4 linked regions of the Drosophila melanogaster genome follow. The gene in region 1 interacts genetically with each later gene. Each region holds a gene or a part of one and is shown in the gene's direction. Other genes may lie near its edges. The genes, in order: eve, Fas2, ftz and Nrg.

Evidence for each region.
Region 2: of eve (region 1) and Fas2, changing one enhances a phenotype caused by changing the other (phenotypic enhancement), as found in Drosophila melanogaster (one study listed by BioGRID).
Region 3: of eve (region 1) and ftz, changing one suppresses a phenotype caused by changing the other (phenotypic suppression), as found in Drosophila melanogaster (one study listed by BioGRID).
Region 4: of eve (region 1) and Nrg, changing one enhances a phenotype caused by changing the other (phenotypic enhancement), as found in Drosophila melanogaster (one study listed by BioGRID).

What each region holds. Positions count from the first base shown.
Region 1 is NT_033778.4:9,977,316-9,981,352, forward strand, and holds eve (even skipped), read left to right. Parts: upstream 1-2,003; 5' UTR 2,004-2,099; coding exon 2,100-2,238; exon of another isoform or gene 2,239-2,269; intron 2,270-2,309; coding exon 2,310-3,301; 3' UTR 3,302-3,480; downstream 3,481-4,037. UniProt on the Drosophila melanogaster protein: May play a role in determining neuronal identity. May be directly involved in specifying identity of individual neurons.
Region 2 is NC_004354.4:4,203,049-4,207,794, reverse strand, and holds the start of Fas2 (fasciclin 2), read left to right. Parts: upstream 1-1,701; 5' UTR 1,702-1,895; intron 1,896-4,308; 5' UTR 4,309-4,534; coding exon 4,535-4,604; intron 4,605-4,746.
Region 3 is NT_033777.3:6,862,292-6,866,765, forward strand, and holds ftz (fushi tarazu), read left to right. Parts: upstream 1-2,032; 5' UTR 2,033-2,102; coding exon 2,103-2,850; intron 2,851-2,997; coding exon 2,998-3,482; 3' UTR 3,483-3,953; downstream 3,954-4,474. UniProt on the Drosophila melanogaster protein: May play a role in determining neuronal identity, may be directly involved in specifying identity of individual neurons. Required during embryogenesis for the process of body segmentation.
Region 4 is NC_004354.4:8,515,749-8,520,514, forward strand, and holds the start of Nrg (neuroglian), read left to right. Parts: upstream 1-1,739; 5' UTR 1,740-1,761; exon of another isoform or gene 1,762-2,650; intron 2,651-4,766. Other genes in the region: CG33181 (uncharacterized protein), read left to right, coding at 1-178. UniProt on the Drosophila melanogaster protein: Essential for septate junctions. Septate junctions, which are the equivalent of vertebrate tight junctions, are characterized by regular arrays of transverse structures that span the intermembrane space and form a physical barrier to diffusion.

The sequences.
Region 1 (4,037 bases):
ACTTCCGCCGGCGGACACTTTCGCCTAACCAAGCCAATCCAACCCATCCCAATCCAATCCAACCCACCCGATCGCCATAAAGGGTATTTACTGTCGCTGCCGCAGAGCCTCGCTTGACGACTTAACCCAAGCGGTCGTTTCGCGTCCATTCTCCGGACGGAGTCAAAGACAAAGGCCGGCGGAGGTGGACAATAGGCAAGGTTGTTGCTTGTGGGTAGGGTTTGAGCTATGAGCTATGAGCTGTGAGCTGTTAGCCCTGAACCCCGAACCTCGAGAATTGAACCTTTCCCGGGGCAAGAAGGCTTGCATGTGGGCCTTTTCCAGGTCGGCCAGTAGGTAGAGTTGTTGCGATGCGGCTATGCCGGGCGAGTTAATGCCAATGCAAATTGCGGGCGCAATATAACCCAATAATTTGAAGTAACTGGCAGGAGCGAGGTATCCTTCCTGGTTACCCGGTACTGCATAACAATGGAACCCGAACCGTAACTGGGACAGATCGAAAAGCTGGCCTGGTTTCTCGCTGTGTGTGCCGTGTTAATCCGTTTGCCATCAGCGAGATTATTAGTCAATTGCAGTTGCAGCGTTTCGCTTTCGTCCTCGTTTCACTTTCGAGTTAGACTTTATTGCAGCATCTTGAACAATCGTCGCAGTTTGGTAACACGCTGTGCCATACTTTCATTTAGACGGAATCGAGGGACCCTGGACTATAATCGCACAACGAGACCGGGTTGCGAAGTCAGGGCATTCCGCCGATCTAGCCATCGCCATCTTCTGCGGGCGTTTGTTTGTTTGTTTGCTGGGATTAGCCAAGGGCTTGACTTGGAATCCAATCCCGATCCCTAGCCCGATCCCAATCCCAATCCCAATCCCTTGTCCTTTTCATTAGAAAGTCATAAAAACACATAATAATGATGTCGAAGGGATTAGGGGCGCGCAGGTCCAGGCAACGCAATTAACGGACTAGCGAACTGGGTTATTTTTTTGCGCCGACTTAGCCCTGATCCGCGAGCTTAACCCGTTTTGAGCCGGGCAGCAGGTAGTTGTGGGTGGACCCCACGATTTTTTTGGCCAAACCTCCAAGCTAACTTGCGCAAGTGGCAAGTGGCCGGTTTGCTGGCCCAAAAGAGGAGGCACTATCCCGGTCCTGGTACAGTTGGTACGCTGGGAATGATTATATCATCATAATAAATGTTTTGCCCAACGAAACCGAAAACTTTTCAAATTAAGTCCCGGCAACTGGGTTCCCATTTTCCATTTTCCATGTTCTGCGGGCAGGGGCGGCCATTATCTCGCTACAGCAGTTCCCAAATGGTTATGGCTGGACACCCCTGCCGCCGCTCCAACGGGGTGGATGAAGCCCCCAAAACCCGAAAGTCATGGCAGCCATGGCAGTGTGGGGCTGTTAAACGTGCGGCATAATATTAAGACTTCATAAAAGCGCAAATAATTCGCTGGCAGGCGATCGATAATACATACATACAAATATATAGTGGGATACACACACTCTCTGCCGGCAAACACACACCACCCGACCCGACTGAGCGGCATAATGCCATATCATTCTTGATGAAGCCGATAAAATCCCATTATTAAGGGGGCCCGCCCGTCCCGCTCGCTCCTGCGGAGCAACCGCCTGCGGGCGGGCGAGACAAAAGATTCGCTCATCCGCTATGAATACCAAATCGGAACTCTCTCTCTCTCCAGCTCGGGAGTGCCATGGCCAGCATGGCCAGGACCTCCTCATGGTCCTGCCGAGCAGAGAACGCGGCTCCATCCCGCTGCTCCGGGTCCTGCTCCTCCGCTTTGTCCCGCCTCGTTATCGCCGCTCAGCACCGAGAGCACAGCAGCGCATCCACTCTCAGCACCGCACGATTAGCACCGTTCCGCTCAGGCTGTCCCGCTCGCACCTGCCTGGGTCGCTGCGATTGGCCGCTCCCAGCGACGGCGGCCATTTGCCTGCAGAGCGCAGCGGTATAAAAGGGCGCGGGGTGGCTGAGAGCAGCACACTCGAGCTGTGACCGCCGCACAGTCAACAACTAACTGCCTTCGTTAATATCCTCTGAATAAGCCAACTTTGAATCACAAGACGCATACCAAACATGCACGGATACCGAACCTACAACATGGAGAGCCACCATGCCCATCACGACGCCAGTCCCGTGGACCAGAAGCCCCTGGTTGTGGACCTCTTGGCCACCCAGTACGGCAAGCCCCAGACACCGCCTCCCTCGCCAAATGGTAAGTTTAAAGATAAAGCCGAGCAAACGTGACGAGTTACTTACACCCAATCTTTCCTCTGTCCAAAACAGAATGCCTATCCAGTCCGGATAACTCCTTGAACGGCAGCCGCGGCTCGGAGATTCCCGCCGACCCGTCGGTACGCCGCTATCGCACCGCCTTCACCCGTGACCAGCTGGGTCGCTTGGAGAAGGAGTTCTACAAGGAGAACTACGTGTCCCGTCCCCGTCGCTGCGAACTGGCCGCCCAGCTGAACCTCCCGGAGAGCACGATCAAGGTGTGGTTCCAGAACCGCCGCATGAAGGACAAGCGTCAGAGGATCGCCGTCGCCTGGCCCTACGCAGCCGTCTACTCCGATCCCGCCTTCGCCGCCTCCATCCTCCAGGCCGCCGCCAACAGCGTGGGCATGCCCTATCCGCCCTACGCCCCCGCTGCTGCCGCCGCTGCTGCCGCCGCCGCTGCCGTGGCCACCAATCCGATGATGGCCACCGGAATGCCCCCGATGGGCATGCCCCAGATGCCCACAATGCAGATGCCCGGACACTCGGGACATGCCGGCCATCCATCGCCCTACGGACAGTACCGCTACACGCCCTACCACATCCCCGCCCGCCCGGCGCCGCCACATCCCGCTGGTCCTCATATGCATCATCCGCACATGATGGGATCCAGCGCAACGGGATCGTCGTACTCCGCCGGTGCCGCCGGCCTTTTGGGCGCTCTGCCCTCCGCCACCTGCTATACCGGACTGGGTGTGGGTGTGCCCAAGACCCAGACGCCGCCGCTGGATCTGCAGTCGTCGTCATCGCCGCACTCCTCCACGCTGTCGCTCTCGCCAGTGGGATCCGATCACGCCAAGGTGTTCGACCGCAGTCCAGTGGCTCAATCCGCTCCATCAGTTCCTGCTCCCGCTCCACTGACCACCACCAGCCCGCTGCCCGCTCCAGGCCTCCTGATGCCCAGTGCCAAGCGGCCTGCCTCCGACATGTCGCCGCCGCCGACGACAACTGTGATTGCGGAGCCCAAGCCGAAGCTCTTCAAGCCCTACAAGACTGAGGCGTAAGCCCGCGATCCACACACACTCTCTCCCCCCCCCCCATGCTCCCCCAAAAGATTGTACAAACTAGTCTTAGTCAGCCTCATCTATTTATTCCCGAAGATTGTACAGATTGTAGAGTAGCTAATTGTAGTCATAATTAAGGCGCAAAATCAAATTAAGAAATAAATGCGAAAATAACATTGAAAATTATACGACACACACTGTTTATTTGAACTACCTGGTACCTGGTATTATCTACATATATATCAACATATATTCATATACCTGAGCTGAATCGCTTTTATGGACCTGGCTCTCTGGATTAGCTGTGGAGAAACCTGGCGGGACAGCTGCGCTGCTGACTGCTGACCTTCCCAGGGAAACTGTGGCAAATCGAACGGAAGAGCGGCAGAGCGGCAGAGCCGCAGAGCGTGCCGAGTGTCCTTCGGAGTGGCCACCCACAATCAGGAGTAAGGGTTCCCGATGCGGCACCGGCGGGGAAGGGAACAACATCCACGGGGGATTGGCACAAGCCAATGGCTTATTAATGCGATCCGAACGGATCCAAGCGGGAGGGCCCATTGCAAATGCAGAGCCACCCCGCTGGGCGGCGACCTTGGCGAGGAGTTGGGCCCACTCCCTGCCACGCGTCAGGTTGCATTGCCAATGGAATCAATTTCGGTGTCCTCGGATTGCATTGGGCTCGGCTAATTAATTGTCACCTCACCCGTTGAGTGACTTTTTTGTTTGTTGGTCCTGG
Region 2 (4,746 bases), on another chromosome or scaffold:
TTTCCTTTGTTTTTACATCAGATTACTGGTGCCAAGACCAAAGATTCTTAAAATAATTACTTATTTATTTATATTTATGTTCTAATTTCTTTATATTACATTCTTGCTTTTTAAATCGCCAATACATTTAAATGCAATCGTGTTAAATCCTATTTGTTGATAGCCAAAATGTTCACATCGTTGGCACATCATGGGTCAAAGGTCGAACGCATTAGCAAATTAAGCGTGAAGAACGATTGTCACCATAGTTCCCACAGCCAGCCGATCAATTCAATATTCATCTGTGAAAAGTTCGGAAAATTCGGCCGGCTGTGAAATAAAATTAACGCACTCCAAATCGGGCGAATCGGGCGTATCGGGTTTTTGTTTTGTGTGTGGGAGATAGAGGAAGATTCCGAGCAATAAATAAAGCGCAGCGAAAGTGCGACATCAACGACAAAATAACAATCCTATAAATCACTTATTGGTGATTCTGGCGGGGGAGGGGTGTCGCTGGTATATAGATATATGTAGGTACATATATCCCCTCTGTATACGGTGATAAATTGCTCCGTCACACAAACGACAAACGAAACAAAACAACAATGATAACTGCAGAATACATCGCATTGGCATCTATACGCAATTTCATTTAGTAAATTGCACACAGCGCATTCAAACGTAACTGCGATTTTTTTTTTTGTTTCCACTTAACCGGGGAAAATCACCCCCCTCGTCACGATTTTTCCGCAGGCTGGTTTAATTGACAGCGCGGCAATTGAAAATAAAAGAAGTTTTTGTTTGGAATCGAATCTCGATGTTGCGCGGGCAACAAGTGGCCGTCTCCGAAATATCCGAAATGTTGCCAGCCGGAAAATTCGTCTTGCATACCCGCCCGATTTTCCCCCCAGCATTCGTCGGTTACTTCGACAGCAAGATCGTAAAATGCTGTGCCGAAAAATAAGACGTTAAACTTTGGTTTTCCTCATTTCGAAATGTTGCAAGAGGTTTCGGCAACATGCTGCTAACTTCGAAGGATGTTTAGATAGTGTTCCCGAATATTCTTACAAAACTTATCGAAGTGTGAGATTTTCATCTTGCATATCAATCGGAAAAACCTTAGCTAGACATCATCTCCTCGCGATAGCACACTTTGCGTAATATATGTACATACGTGTAGCTCTTTTAAATGTGCCCCCGAATAAAGTAGTTACATTTTTAATGCTTCGTTCTGAAAGTTTGTTGACAAAGCTCCACAAAGATTGGGCAACAAAAACGTGTCAAAAAACCTGACACCAGTCGCTCGTAAAAGTGACGAAATGGGGCTTAAGTGCCACCGCCCAGTTTCTCCGCCCATTGTCGTTTGACCTTGCTGACACTCGAGAAGAAAAGAGCTGAATTCTTCGCCGCCTAACGGTAGACACTCTCCATCTCTTTTAGTCTCCACTGAAAACATATTTGGCCAATAACTGATATTAATATTCCTGTGCACTTATTACGTTATTTATGTAAATTAATTTCATTTTAAAAGAGCTCAGATTTTCGGTTTTATAAATTGCTATTATCTATGCACTTTACTTCTTAAACTTCTACCATCTCCCTTGCTTGATTACTTTCGGTTGGCAACATGCTGCGTCGCATCGGCTGGCAACATTTGGGGTTGCCAGATCTTGTGGCGCGGCAATAGCTGTGGTATTTTGCGGCGGCAGCGCTAGCGGTGCTTTCAGTTACGTTTCGACGGCCAACGCGTCGAGTGCTCTGCTTGCTGAGAGAAAGAAAAACACAAATAGAGACAACAGAAGTGGTTCTTCTTCTTCATACTCGCATTCTCTCGCGCTCTCTTCACCGTATGTGTTAACGGTCGTGGCGCGTCGTGTGCGTGTGTGTTAGTGTGCCAGTTAAACAATGAGAAATTGGTAATAATAAATAATAATAATAACTGCTCATAACAGCCATTATTTGGCCGTGCATGAGAAGAACTCAAAAAACATGTCGAGACAGCTCCACAAAAACCAAAAATAAACTGGCGGCATTCTTGTACATATTTTTTTTTTCAAAACTTTTTTTTTAGCGTGTGACAAAAAATACACAAATGTATCTCTCTCGCTCTGCTGAGTCTATGCTGTTTTGTTGTTTTAGCCCAAGATTCCAATGAGTCACGTGCAAAAGTTATTTCAATGAAAACCTCCATGAAAACCCTTTGAAAACTCACCCAATAATCGAGTTGGAAAAGTGCATACAACAAATATGAAAAAAAAGAGCAACATCACCTGAAAAGCAAGAAAAATAAAACGGAAAACAGGTTTTTGGGCCCGCTTCGCTGCCAACTTTATTGTTGTTACTACCAACAGTGTGCACTGGAAATTGACTCACGCTTGCAGCTGGCAAATAGGAAATATGAAACATACAAAAAAGAAACACGTTAAGAATTAGGAAAAGCCGGGCAAATTGATTCCACAACTAATCTGGAATGTTAACCACAGAACAAAAAAAAAAAAAAATAGAAAAGAATAGATTCTCAAATTTCACGACCAATTTCAGTCGGTTTCGTTTTTCCTTTGTCTGTCAAAATTGCCTTTATGTCGCATATCAAAAAGTTTATTTCGTTTGCTGCGGCTTTCTGCAAAAGTTTTAATGTGATTAAAAATATTTGTTTAAACTGTTAACAAGTCGGAATAAACTCAAAGTTGGTAAATTAACTTCATCGACTTCATAGAGTGCTTATTTGAAAACTTTTGCCGCTTTACTTTTGGCAGTTTTTCGAACAAGATGTTAGTTTCGCATTAATAAATTAGTTTATTGCGTTTTATCAAACCTAACCGAGCCATATTTTAATTAAGACTACAAAATCCTATTGAGTTCGTCCAATTCTAGGCAATCAAAACGGCAGATGTAATTACAATTTGTCGGTCGCGCCGAAAGTCAAAATCAAATCATTTGACAGCATTAATAATTCACGAATATCAAGTGGAAAACTTCTAAACTTTGTGCAACTTGAACAGATTCACAAAAACTCTACCGTTGCCAGAACTTCCCCTCTGGCCAAGTCTCTCATTATAATTAGCGTTTTCGAAACTTTATGAATATTTAAAACTGCTTCGCGGGTATTTTGTAACAATGTCTCAATTTGCCAAAAGCAAGAATGAAGCGAGATGAAAGCGAAATATTCTCAAGAATATTTCGCGTGCCGCAGACACACATACGCGCGGTTCCTATGAAAAAAAAAGTCAAGGCCTGCCCTAAATATCGATTATCCAGTAACTGTAATAACCGTAAGCCAAATGAGGGGGTGCGGTGGGAAAGTTCCGCTGTGCAAAGTGGGCGGGATTAGTGGCAAGACGAGCTCGCGAGGAAGTAACTACAGTTTTCCCTCGCCTGCATGCAAATATTTTTTGTTGCTAGGACTGTTATGAGTTTTCAAAAAAAAAAAAAAAAGAGCACTGCTTGCAAGGCGTCACTGTAAATGAAAATTAACTTTTATTGATCACTTATTCTACCTTTATTATTAGTCATTGCATTGAAGTCACGTTCAATTCTATAACTCAACCGTTTTTTATTTGGTTTACGATATTCTCTAAAGCGAGCGATAACTGTACTTTAGAACTTGTTGCAATTCAAGGACACTCAGCATAGGTGCAACTTCAGTAGACATAGAGAGAGAGAGAAGGCGAAAGAGAGCGAGAGAGACAAAGCTTGAGTCATGAATTATTGGAGAGACGCACGAACTTATGTGCCGATAAGAAATATACATTTCGCTCTCGAACCCAAAAGATAACGATCTACTGAGAACACAAACTTATAGATAAAATTCAGCTTAAGCAATCCTCTCCTACCTTATCCAAAGCCCCCCTTCCCTCCCTTACCCCTTGTGTCTGTGTTGCTCCTACCATATTTCCCCTGCACTACGTGTTTCGACTGCCGAGAGCACCGTAATTTCCGTTACAAAAACTGGCCAACATGTGCGAAGTCGGCGGCGCAGCAAGTTTTATTTTCTTCGTTTTCCTTTCTCATTTTTTTTCTTCTTCGCTGCCGCCGCCGATTTTAGAGAATGCAAAAGAGACAAGGCACACACGCACACAACATCGGCTCGCGCTGTCTCGCTTGCACTGCCTTCTTCCTCTTCTCCTCGCCCATAAATGCCAACATTTGCCATTTGAAGCTAAAATGCTAAAGTTATGACAAATATCAAATGCAGATGAACTTCTAAGGCCCAATCTGACTAACCACAAAAGCCAGTTACCATGAATTTAAACTAAAAAAAAACCCTATCTATATTACTATTAAAAGCTTAGCTAATTCATCTTTCTTTCATTATCAATATACTTTCAGATTCACACACCGAAACAGACAAAAGAAAAAAAAACAAAAGACACCGAACGCAAAGTGTTAATCAGAATAGAATAATTTGTGCAATCACGAGCAGCGAAAACAAACTGAAATTTTTTAAACATTTTTTTCGTGTGCAACCGTAAACAAACCAAAGAAGTTAAAACGAGAGCTATTTGCGAGCGGGGAAAACTAGAAAACTACTACAACTGCAAAAACAGCGATAAAAATGGGTGAATTGCCGCCAAATTCAGTCGGCGTCTTTTTGGCGCTGCTCCTCTGCAGCTGCTCTTTAATAGGTGAGTACGGGTATAAAAACGCTCCCCGAATTCCCAATATGTGCTTTTCAATTTGGTATTATAATTAGAAATAGAACCCAAACGCACGAATTGTGCTAAAGTCGAAAATTTATGGCCGCTTCTCCTTTGAAAAGAAAAAACT
Region 3 (4,474 bases), on another chromosome or scaffold:
ATCATTAAATATTTACAAAAACAAACCATTCATAAACAGCTAGACAAGTTAGTTTAAAATCTTAGGCCATGTTCATGTAAAATAATTCAACTAATTAATCTTTTTAAGGTATAATTCAATAAGTATATATCTAAATTCAAAGACCTAGTCAAAAGTAGTAGCCCTCGCCCTTATTTATTGCGTTAAAAAAGGATCCTAACAATATTTAAATAAAATGAGATGAAATTATTTTAGTAAATGATTCGGTATCGAAAGAATTTTATTTTTGGGGAGCTGTTTTTCCTTTCTTTGATTGATAGATATAAACATAAGTTATCGGATGGTTTTATATCCTACTCTACACCCTTATTGTTAAGTTTACTGCAAAACCAGAAAGGAGGCTCACATTCACTGGCAATATAGCAATCACAGGACATCGGAGAGATGCGAACTGCAGTCTCTTCTGTCAAACTGAAAAACGCCATAAATTTTGTGGAACAATGGAATCTGCCAGAGTATGCGGATGGGGTAAGGGTAGAATTCGCACATGCACACATATGTCAGGAGTATCGATATGTTAGGGGTGTTCAACGGGGGTGGCTAATAAAATTTATCCAGGCCGCGTAAGCCGATCAGAAAGTCATGTAAACACAAAAGTGGCTGAGAGATGATTGTTTTTTACCAGTCAATTTAGCTGAGCTGATTTCAGGTTATACGCGAACCTAAGATGGAAGTAGATTTTTAGATTACCAGAAATAACCTTCAGTTTCTAAAAGAATGAGAAATAGTAAATCGTGAAGCCTGTGGCATTCTTACCCCTTACTGAAATGAATGTAACAGGTAGAAGGCAGCAATTGCAGTGCTACAAAGTATATATATTCTTGATCCATATAAGTATAAGTATAAGAGCTATAATGTTATAATTAAACATGAAGATCCTACGCTGTGCAAGTTTTGTGCCACAAATTTAACTCAAGATTACCACTCACAAAGGATACATTACCATTTGGCCATTAAAAATTACAGCATCCATAGACAACCTACTTAAAATTTATAAAAACTTGAGGGTTATATCACAGAGTTACCGAAAAAAAGCGTAAAAGCTTTATATTCTCAACAATATTATGCTATTAAAATATTGCTGGTTTTCTGCTGTTATAGAATCATTTTTAAAAGTATAACGTAAAAAATAAAATAAAACTAGTATTCATTTGAAAAATCAGCGGGCATATAATTTATATCATATTTTTAAAATTTAGGCAAAGGATGTTTGCATAAAGTTTTTACTGTTTACTAGTCATTTTGGAAGTGCGTTTGTTGGTTTTTAGGCAAATACCGGGCACAGGAGTGAGTTTGGGAATCGGGAGTTGCGCACTTGCTTGGCCACGAGGGCAAACAAAAAGCGCAAACACGCGACCCTCGGCCACGCGTATTCCTGATCCCAGGGATCGGACGTAATGTTATCCTTTGGCCGCCCAGTGCCACGAAATAAATTCGGAGGGAAAGGGCATCGGGTTCCGGGAACAACTGGCAGCCAGTCTTCGGTGTTTTGCGCGCTGGCAAAAATCCAGAGAAATTTTTAGGGAACCATAAACGGGCCGGGGAAAAAGCCTCTGCCCCGAAGGAACGTTTTCAGCAACAGTTTACAGTTTTTATGTCTTTATGATTATTGCAATTAGAGGGAGATCGGCTGAGAGTCGCGCCCTCTCGCTCTGCGCACCTCATAGGTAGGCACCTCATGGCCGTAATTACTGCAGCACCGTCTCAAGGTCGCCGAGTAGGAGAAGCGCGCGGGCGGATAAATCGCGATGATAATGGGCGCGATGGGTAGGTAATAAGCCGCGCAGCAGGTAGGCACCGTACGGATAAAGTTGCCAGGACCTCGGATAACTTCCCCTCTCCGTGCCTGCAAGGACATTTCGCCGGAGGGGTGGCTGCGAACAGCAGGCGGCAAAGTGTCATGCGCAGGGATATTTATGCGCTATAACGGCGAGCGTGTGCCGAGGGCTCTCTGATTTTGCTATATATGCAGGATCTGCCGCAGGACCAGCTCATTCGCAAACTCACCAGCGTTGCGTGCACATCGCAGAGTTAGAGAAGAAATCTAGCAATACACATCCGATATGGCCACCACAAACAGCCAGAGCCACTACAGCTACGCCGACAACATGAACATGTACAACATGTATCACCCCCACAGCCTGCCGCCCACCTACTACGATAATTCAGGCAGCAATGCCTACTATCAGAACACCTCCAATTATCAGGGCTACTATCCCCAGGAGAGTTACTCGGAGAGCTGCTACTACTACAACAATCAGGAGCAGGTGACCACCCAGACTGTACCGCCCGTGCAACCCACCACCCCGCCGCCCAAGGCCACCAAGCGCAAGGCCGAAGATGATGCTGCTTCCATCATCGCCGCCGTGGAGGAGCGACCCAGCACACTGAGGGCTCTGCTCACCAATCCCGTGAAGAAGCTGAAGTACACCCCCGACTATTTCTACACAACCGTCGAGCAGGTGAAGAAGGCTCCCGCCGTAAGCACCAAGGTCACCGCCAGCCCCGCTCCCAGCTACGACCAAGAGTACGTGACTGTGCCCACGCCCAGCGCCTCCGAGGATGTCGACTACTTGGACGTCTACTCGCCCCAGTCGCAGACGCAGAAGCTGAAGAATGGCGACTTTGCCACCCCTCCGCCAACCACGCCCACCTCTCTGCCGCCCCTCGAAGGCATCAGCACGCCACCCCAATCGCCGGGGGAGAAATCCTCGTCAGCTGTCAGCCAGGAGATCAATCATCGAATTGTGACAGCCCCGAATGGAGCCGGCGATTTCAATTGGTCGCACATCGAGGAGACTTTGGCATCAGGTAGGCATCACACACGATTAACAACCCCTAAAAATACACTTTGAAAATATTGAAAATATGTTTTTGTATACATTTTTGATATTTTCAAACAATACGCAGTTATAAAACTCATTAGCTAACCCATTTTTTCTTTGCTTATGCTTACAGATTGCAAAGACTCGAAACGCACCCGTCAGACGTACACCCGCTACCAGACCCTGGAGCTCGAGAAGGAGTTCCACTTCAATAGATACATCACCCGGCGTCGTCGCATCGATATCGCCAATGCCCTGAGCCTGAGCGAAAGGCAGATCAAGATCTGGTTCCAAAACCGACGCATGAAGTCGAAGAAGGATCGCACGCTGGACAGCTCCCCGGAGCACTGTGGTGCCGGCTACACCGCGATGCTGCCGCCACTGGAGGCCACAAGCACCGCCACCACCGGGGCACCATCGGTGCCAGTGCCCATGTACCACCACCACCAAACCACCGCCGCCTACCCCGCTTACAGCCACAGTCACAGTCATGGTTATGGCCTGCTCAATGATTACCCTCAGCAGCAGACCCACCAGCAGTACGATGCCTACCCGCAGCAGTACCAACATCAGTGCAGCTACCAGCAACATCCACAGGACCTCTACCATCTGTCTTGAGGTCCGGCGATGCTCAGTTACTCTCTTCCCCAGAGCGGAACCGAAAGCCGTACCGCCACGAAACCGAAGCGCACTTCTCTCGACCATTTGTAGGTGACACGCAAATGACACAGCCGAGAACGAAGCTGCGACGCGATGAGTTGCACAGTAGAGGGCGCACTCCCTACGGTGCCCAGGACATTTTGGGCACAAGGACGAGTGCGCAAGTGCAGAAGGCAGAGGCAAAAGAGGCAGCGCAAACAGAAAAGGAGCCTTGCTGCGCGCGGAACCCAGTGGCTGGCCATGATGGGTTCTCAGCGATCGATTAGCTGCGGCCAAACACAAGCCCAAAACACTCAGCTGGGAGTGATAATGGCCAAGAGACTTGGAGACTGACACACATGTTTTTGTACATATAGTAGTTAAGATATTCCTATCATAGAATTCTATTTATTTAAATATACGAGTAAAGTAAATCGATCGAATTTAAACAAATCAAGTTGAACATTCATTTGGCAATTTGTGAAGAAGAGTCTTGGGCATGCTGCAATTTGACTGCTTTAAAATTTTAAATTTATAGGCCGTGGGCCGCGTATGTGGAATACATTTCATATGTATATGTGTTGAAATAAAATTAAATGCCTTTCAATGATAACTACTCAATAAATTCTTAAAATAGTTTGGATCAACGTATGGTATTTGTCTAACTACTTTCACCGAAAACATATCACAAGGCAAAGTTTACCTTCAGCCTATTTTCATACCTTATATATGCATATAATACATATATATGATAAAAATGGAGTTTAGGAGTTAAGGAGTTTAAATTATTTAAGTATAAGCCTAATATTTAATTGTTCGTTGAGAAGCTTAAGAGATCTCTTGGTTTACTTTCTGATGAATTGCACATGGTTGAAGCATTACTTTCGAACTTATACGAAACGCAAACGATTTAATGTTGAGCACGAATCGTACAAATTCGAGCAGCTGCATTTTGTCGCTTCAGTCCCCCT
Region 4 (4,766 bases), on another chromosome or scaffold:
CATCATTGTGCACGCGATGTGGAAGTGGAAGATCGATCCGGATAACTCGGCCATACCCTACCTGACGGCCTTGGGCGATCTGCTCGGCAGCAGTCTGCTGGCGGTGGCGTGGCTCTTCACCATGTCGGTGGGCATGCAGTACGGATCCGGAATGGAGACACTAAACGCACCTAACTAATGTAGCTAACGAAATAGGGAGTACGGAGTAACGTAGAACGATAAACAAGGCAGCCACACATACACACACACCATACAATATAAAGAACTGTTATGTACCTAAAACAAATATACAGAAAACATAGAAATTGTACGTATAGCCAGCCTCCTCCAGCCACCCAAAAATCTTAAATCCAAGACAAAAAAAAAAAACCTCCCAACACCAAACGGAAACGGAAACGGAAACCGCTATAAAACGAACTAACTTTTAATGATGCATGTCGAATGCTCGAGGCGAGAGATATTAAGAGATATGATATCATTTTACATTGTGTCCTTCTTCACATGGCTTTTGCTTGTGTTCCTTTTGCTCTACCGAGAAATTATGTGCGATTATGGTATATATACAGGCTATATATAGGCATATGTAGAATTGCAGGCCGCTGCGTCATATTTTTTAAGGCTTTTAGGACAATATTATACACATTTAAAGAAAAGTATATACATTGTATAGGGAGAAAAAGACGACGAAGAATTACTAAAAGAACATTTACGCCACGCAAATTGTTTTCTCCCACTTTGGTTCTTGATTCTTTCGCTCTTGATTACCTTAAACAGCCAAATAATAATTGCAAAACGTAGACGTAAATAGAGCCTACTTAAATCCTTAATTTACACTTAACCAATTATGTAGTATTAGCGCAGATTTGATTTTTGCAAGTCTCGCTTTCGATTTTGTTTTTTTTTTTAATATTACTTTTCTCATTGTCCCCTTCCATCCCCCTTTCCATTTCCCCCCCGCAGAGCGCGAGCGATAAAAAGAAATAGGAGAAGCAATAATTAAACCGCGAATTGCGATATATATGATTGCAAATTAGTTAGGACGATGGAAAGGAAGTGTGTATGCAGGAGTTTGTGCGTTCTGCTCCGCATCAAAAAGTGAACAGGGATTAAAATGATGAGAATGAGAGACGTTCTGAAAGGAAATGTGATCGATATTTAGTTATAACAATAATAATAATAATAATAATAAATTAATTGAAAACGTAAGAGAAAAGGCATCAATATTGTGTAATACTTGAAACAATAATACCAATTAAATAAATATGTTGGAATAAACGAAAGAAATCCAAATAGTTTCAATATCTTTATAATTAATTATGTTTCTGTTTAGCGTTGCTCAGAATTGTAATTAAAACGTAAAACCATTTGAATTTGAATATTTTGGCGCCCAGTTCATCAATCGATATATCATTCATGTTATGGGTAGCATTGAACACACTATCGATAAGAGTCTCTAAAGAGTTACAAATATCGATAAGAGCGTAGGTTATTTAAAAGTATATCGCATCCCTGGTAATCAATCGATAGTTGGTATATCTTAGATAAATATCGATAACCGTAAACCAGTTTGTCGGTGATGCCACCCCGCATTCCGTGCGTCCGATTGTTACCGTTCGCGAGGCTGGCAGTTCCTCTCCGCATTCGAAAAGAAAATATCCGCGCTGCTGGTTGTGTATGTCCGCCAAATCGTATTTACTGAAAACTACGCCGAAAACACCGCGATACATATTCGCAGCCGAGCGAATATATATCGTTATTTGGGTGTTTAAGCACTAACTTTATTTATTTTTTCCTAAAAATTCCGCGTGTATAACATAACTGTCCCAGTGTGTGTGTATATGCGTCGGTGTTAGTGTTAGTGAGCGCCGGGAATTGAAAATAAAATAGTAAAAAAAAGAGGAAAAAAAACGAACTGACGCCGCGTAGAAAATTGTCTTATTTACTCCGCCAATATATAAATTGGTTTTAGCTCTGCCTTCGCTTTTTTTTTTTAGTGTGCGTTCGTGTGTGTGAGTGTGCGGGTGTGCTTGTCTGGGAATTGTTTTAAAAAAATAAGAAAAATTGGTTGCCAAACGAAAGGAAGAAAAAAAAACCCAAAACAAAATTGTTTGTCTCCTTGCGTTACTTCCACCTTCATTTTTTGTTGTTTTTTTACTTTGCACACTGTGCCGCACCCAAAAAGTTAAATAGTTGATGGTTTTCATTAATGCAATTGATTAAAAATGAATGGCAATGCAATATTGTACGAAGCACACGATGACAACAAAAAAGGAGAAGGAGAGCAAATCGGAGGACGCCAAAAGCCACGCAAAGGCAACAACAACAGCAACAATGGGCGCCATTAACTGTACAAGAGCGCTCAAAACCTCAACATTTAAAGCTCTGTGTTTTTTTTATTTTTCCTATTTTTTTGTTGTATTCTAGTTGTTTTTGTATGTACATATGTATTTACCACGAAGCCAAAACTTCGTAAGCGAGTTATTGAGTGGCTCCTTCTCACTCGCTCCGTCTCTCACGCTTTGGCGCGTCGCCCTCTCCCGCCTTCCTCTCTCTCTCTTACCTGAGTTTTGAGTTTTGGATTCTTGAGCGCTTTTTGGCAGAATCCCGTCATCTAGTTGTTGTTGCTGCTGCTGGCTTCTATGACTTAAAGGTAAGCATTATGGATTTGAACCAAGTTTTCGTCCAAGGGCGTAATCTTAACTCCACACACACTGTTTTTTTCTTTTCATTTTTATTGGTGGCTCTAAAACAGGTTTTCTAGCAGCTAGCGAAGATGGTGACGAAGAAGAAGAGCGCAGACAATGAGCGCGAATTACGGCATGTGTGTGTGCGTGTGTCGGTGTTCTTGTTTTGGTGTGTGTGTGTGTGTGTGTGTGTAAGGTGGGGCAGCTTCAAGAGATCACTTTTTGAGCTCTTTTTACGTTTTTTGCCCTCTCCCTCGTTCGTCGCCACTTTGGCGCTCTTCTCGCATTTTCACATGTACTTTCCACGTTCCTAGCGATTTCTCTCTAAATTCTTTCGATTTCATACCTCAAGTACAGAGATAACGGGTTTTCCATTTACAATTTAGAAGATACAAAAAACAAACAATCTTTTAGCGTTTTCAGTTTTATTTTCGTCTAAGCCATTTAATTCATTTACTTTAAAATTCTTTAAATTTAGCAATATCTGAAACAACTGATTTTCAATTTTTTTCAATGATTCTCAATTGCAAACTGAATTGAGTTTAGTTAGGTAAATATATACATTTTGTACTTCTCTCCGCTATTTTTTGTGGTTTTTGCTTTTGACCATGCGGTCATCGCGACGACGTCATCGTTGTGAATAGGTTTATATATATGTATGTACATATATGCATATGTATATGGCAGTTCGTTCCGCCCCAGCAACGCCGTCGACAGCAATGCCTCCGCCCCGAATCGACCCAAAAACGTATCAAGAAAAATAATAATAAATAAATAAAGAAATAACAGAAACTGAAACTGCGTCAACTGAAGCAGCATTAAAAATTAGCTAGTTAATAAATGCCCTTGTTGGCCTTTTGGTGTGGGGATGTCCGGCTAAAGATACAAGATACAATAAGTGATGAAGATATTACTTCACATGCTTACAACATATTAAAAGTATTTAAATAAAAAATATTTGCTAAAATTGTACGAGTTTTTGATAACAAGTTTTATCAACCGGCGACCACAACAGCAAAAAAAAAAAAAAAAAAAAATTTAAGTGCAAATTTCAAAAGTTAATTCAAGAATAAATGTTTAAGCAAACGAAACCAAATCCAAAGTCACTTTGCTGATATGTAATCGCAGCTATTTTTTTTATTTCAAGCACAGTGTGATGATAATTTTCGGCCATTCTTGACTTTGAAAAAATCAAGGCCAAGGTGATCGGAGAATATTTCCATGTTGCATGTGAAAGACTATTACTATTATTTATAAATTCAAGTCCCCTTTCAATGAGGCTAACCTCCAGTAACTGGGATCGTTTTCAATGAGAGCGATAAGAAAAGAACTTGAAACGAAACATTGAAGCTTTATCGATAGAGAAACATCCCCTATAATTTATGCCATTAACAATTGGAAAAGTCAAGCATAATTAAAGCAGTTCATTAATTGAGTAGGTACTGAAATGGACACTCACACTCGAGGCCATTTGAATAGGTACAAAGCATCTACTATTTACTGTTTTTTTTTTGGTCATGCTTCGCCTATTTGCTATTTGGTGATTTTTCGCATATAAATTTTCAATTTGTCAACAATAAATCATACGCAGATCACTGATTACTCTCTTACATATATTTATATGTTCTTGGATTTACTTGGTTACTTGGGAGCTTTTTCCTATATCTTGGATTCCTAAACCTCAAATATATTCCATATTGCCACTTACATACATGTGTATGATCTTGGGTGATTTTCCTCGTAATTGAATTGTTCTTGAACGCCAGAGGCGAACTTTTCGTTTATCAATTCTCCTGGGGCTTTTGTAATTTGTGTGTTATCTACTTTTGAGTCGATCAATTCTTGATTCACACTTGAGGCACTATATTGGTTTTGTCACTTCTGTTGGCTGCTGAATGTACATACATACATACATAATATGATATCATCGATATCTATCTGCGAACTCTCGCGCAATTTATGAGAGATTTATGTTGATATTTTCATATTTTTTTTGGGCGTGCAATTGCCTGGCATTTGTTATAATTAAAATGGAACGCCCCAAAAAGTTGGGGGAGCTGGTAGGAATCAGCAGGCATATAT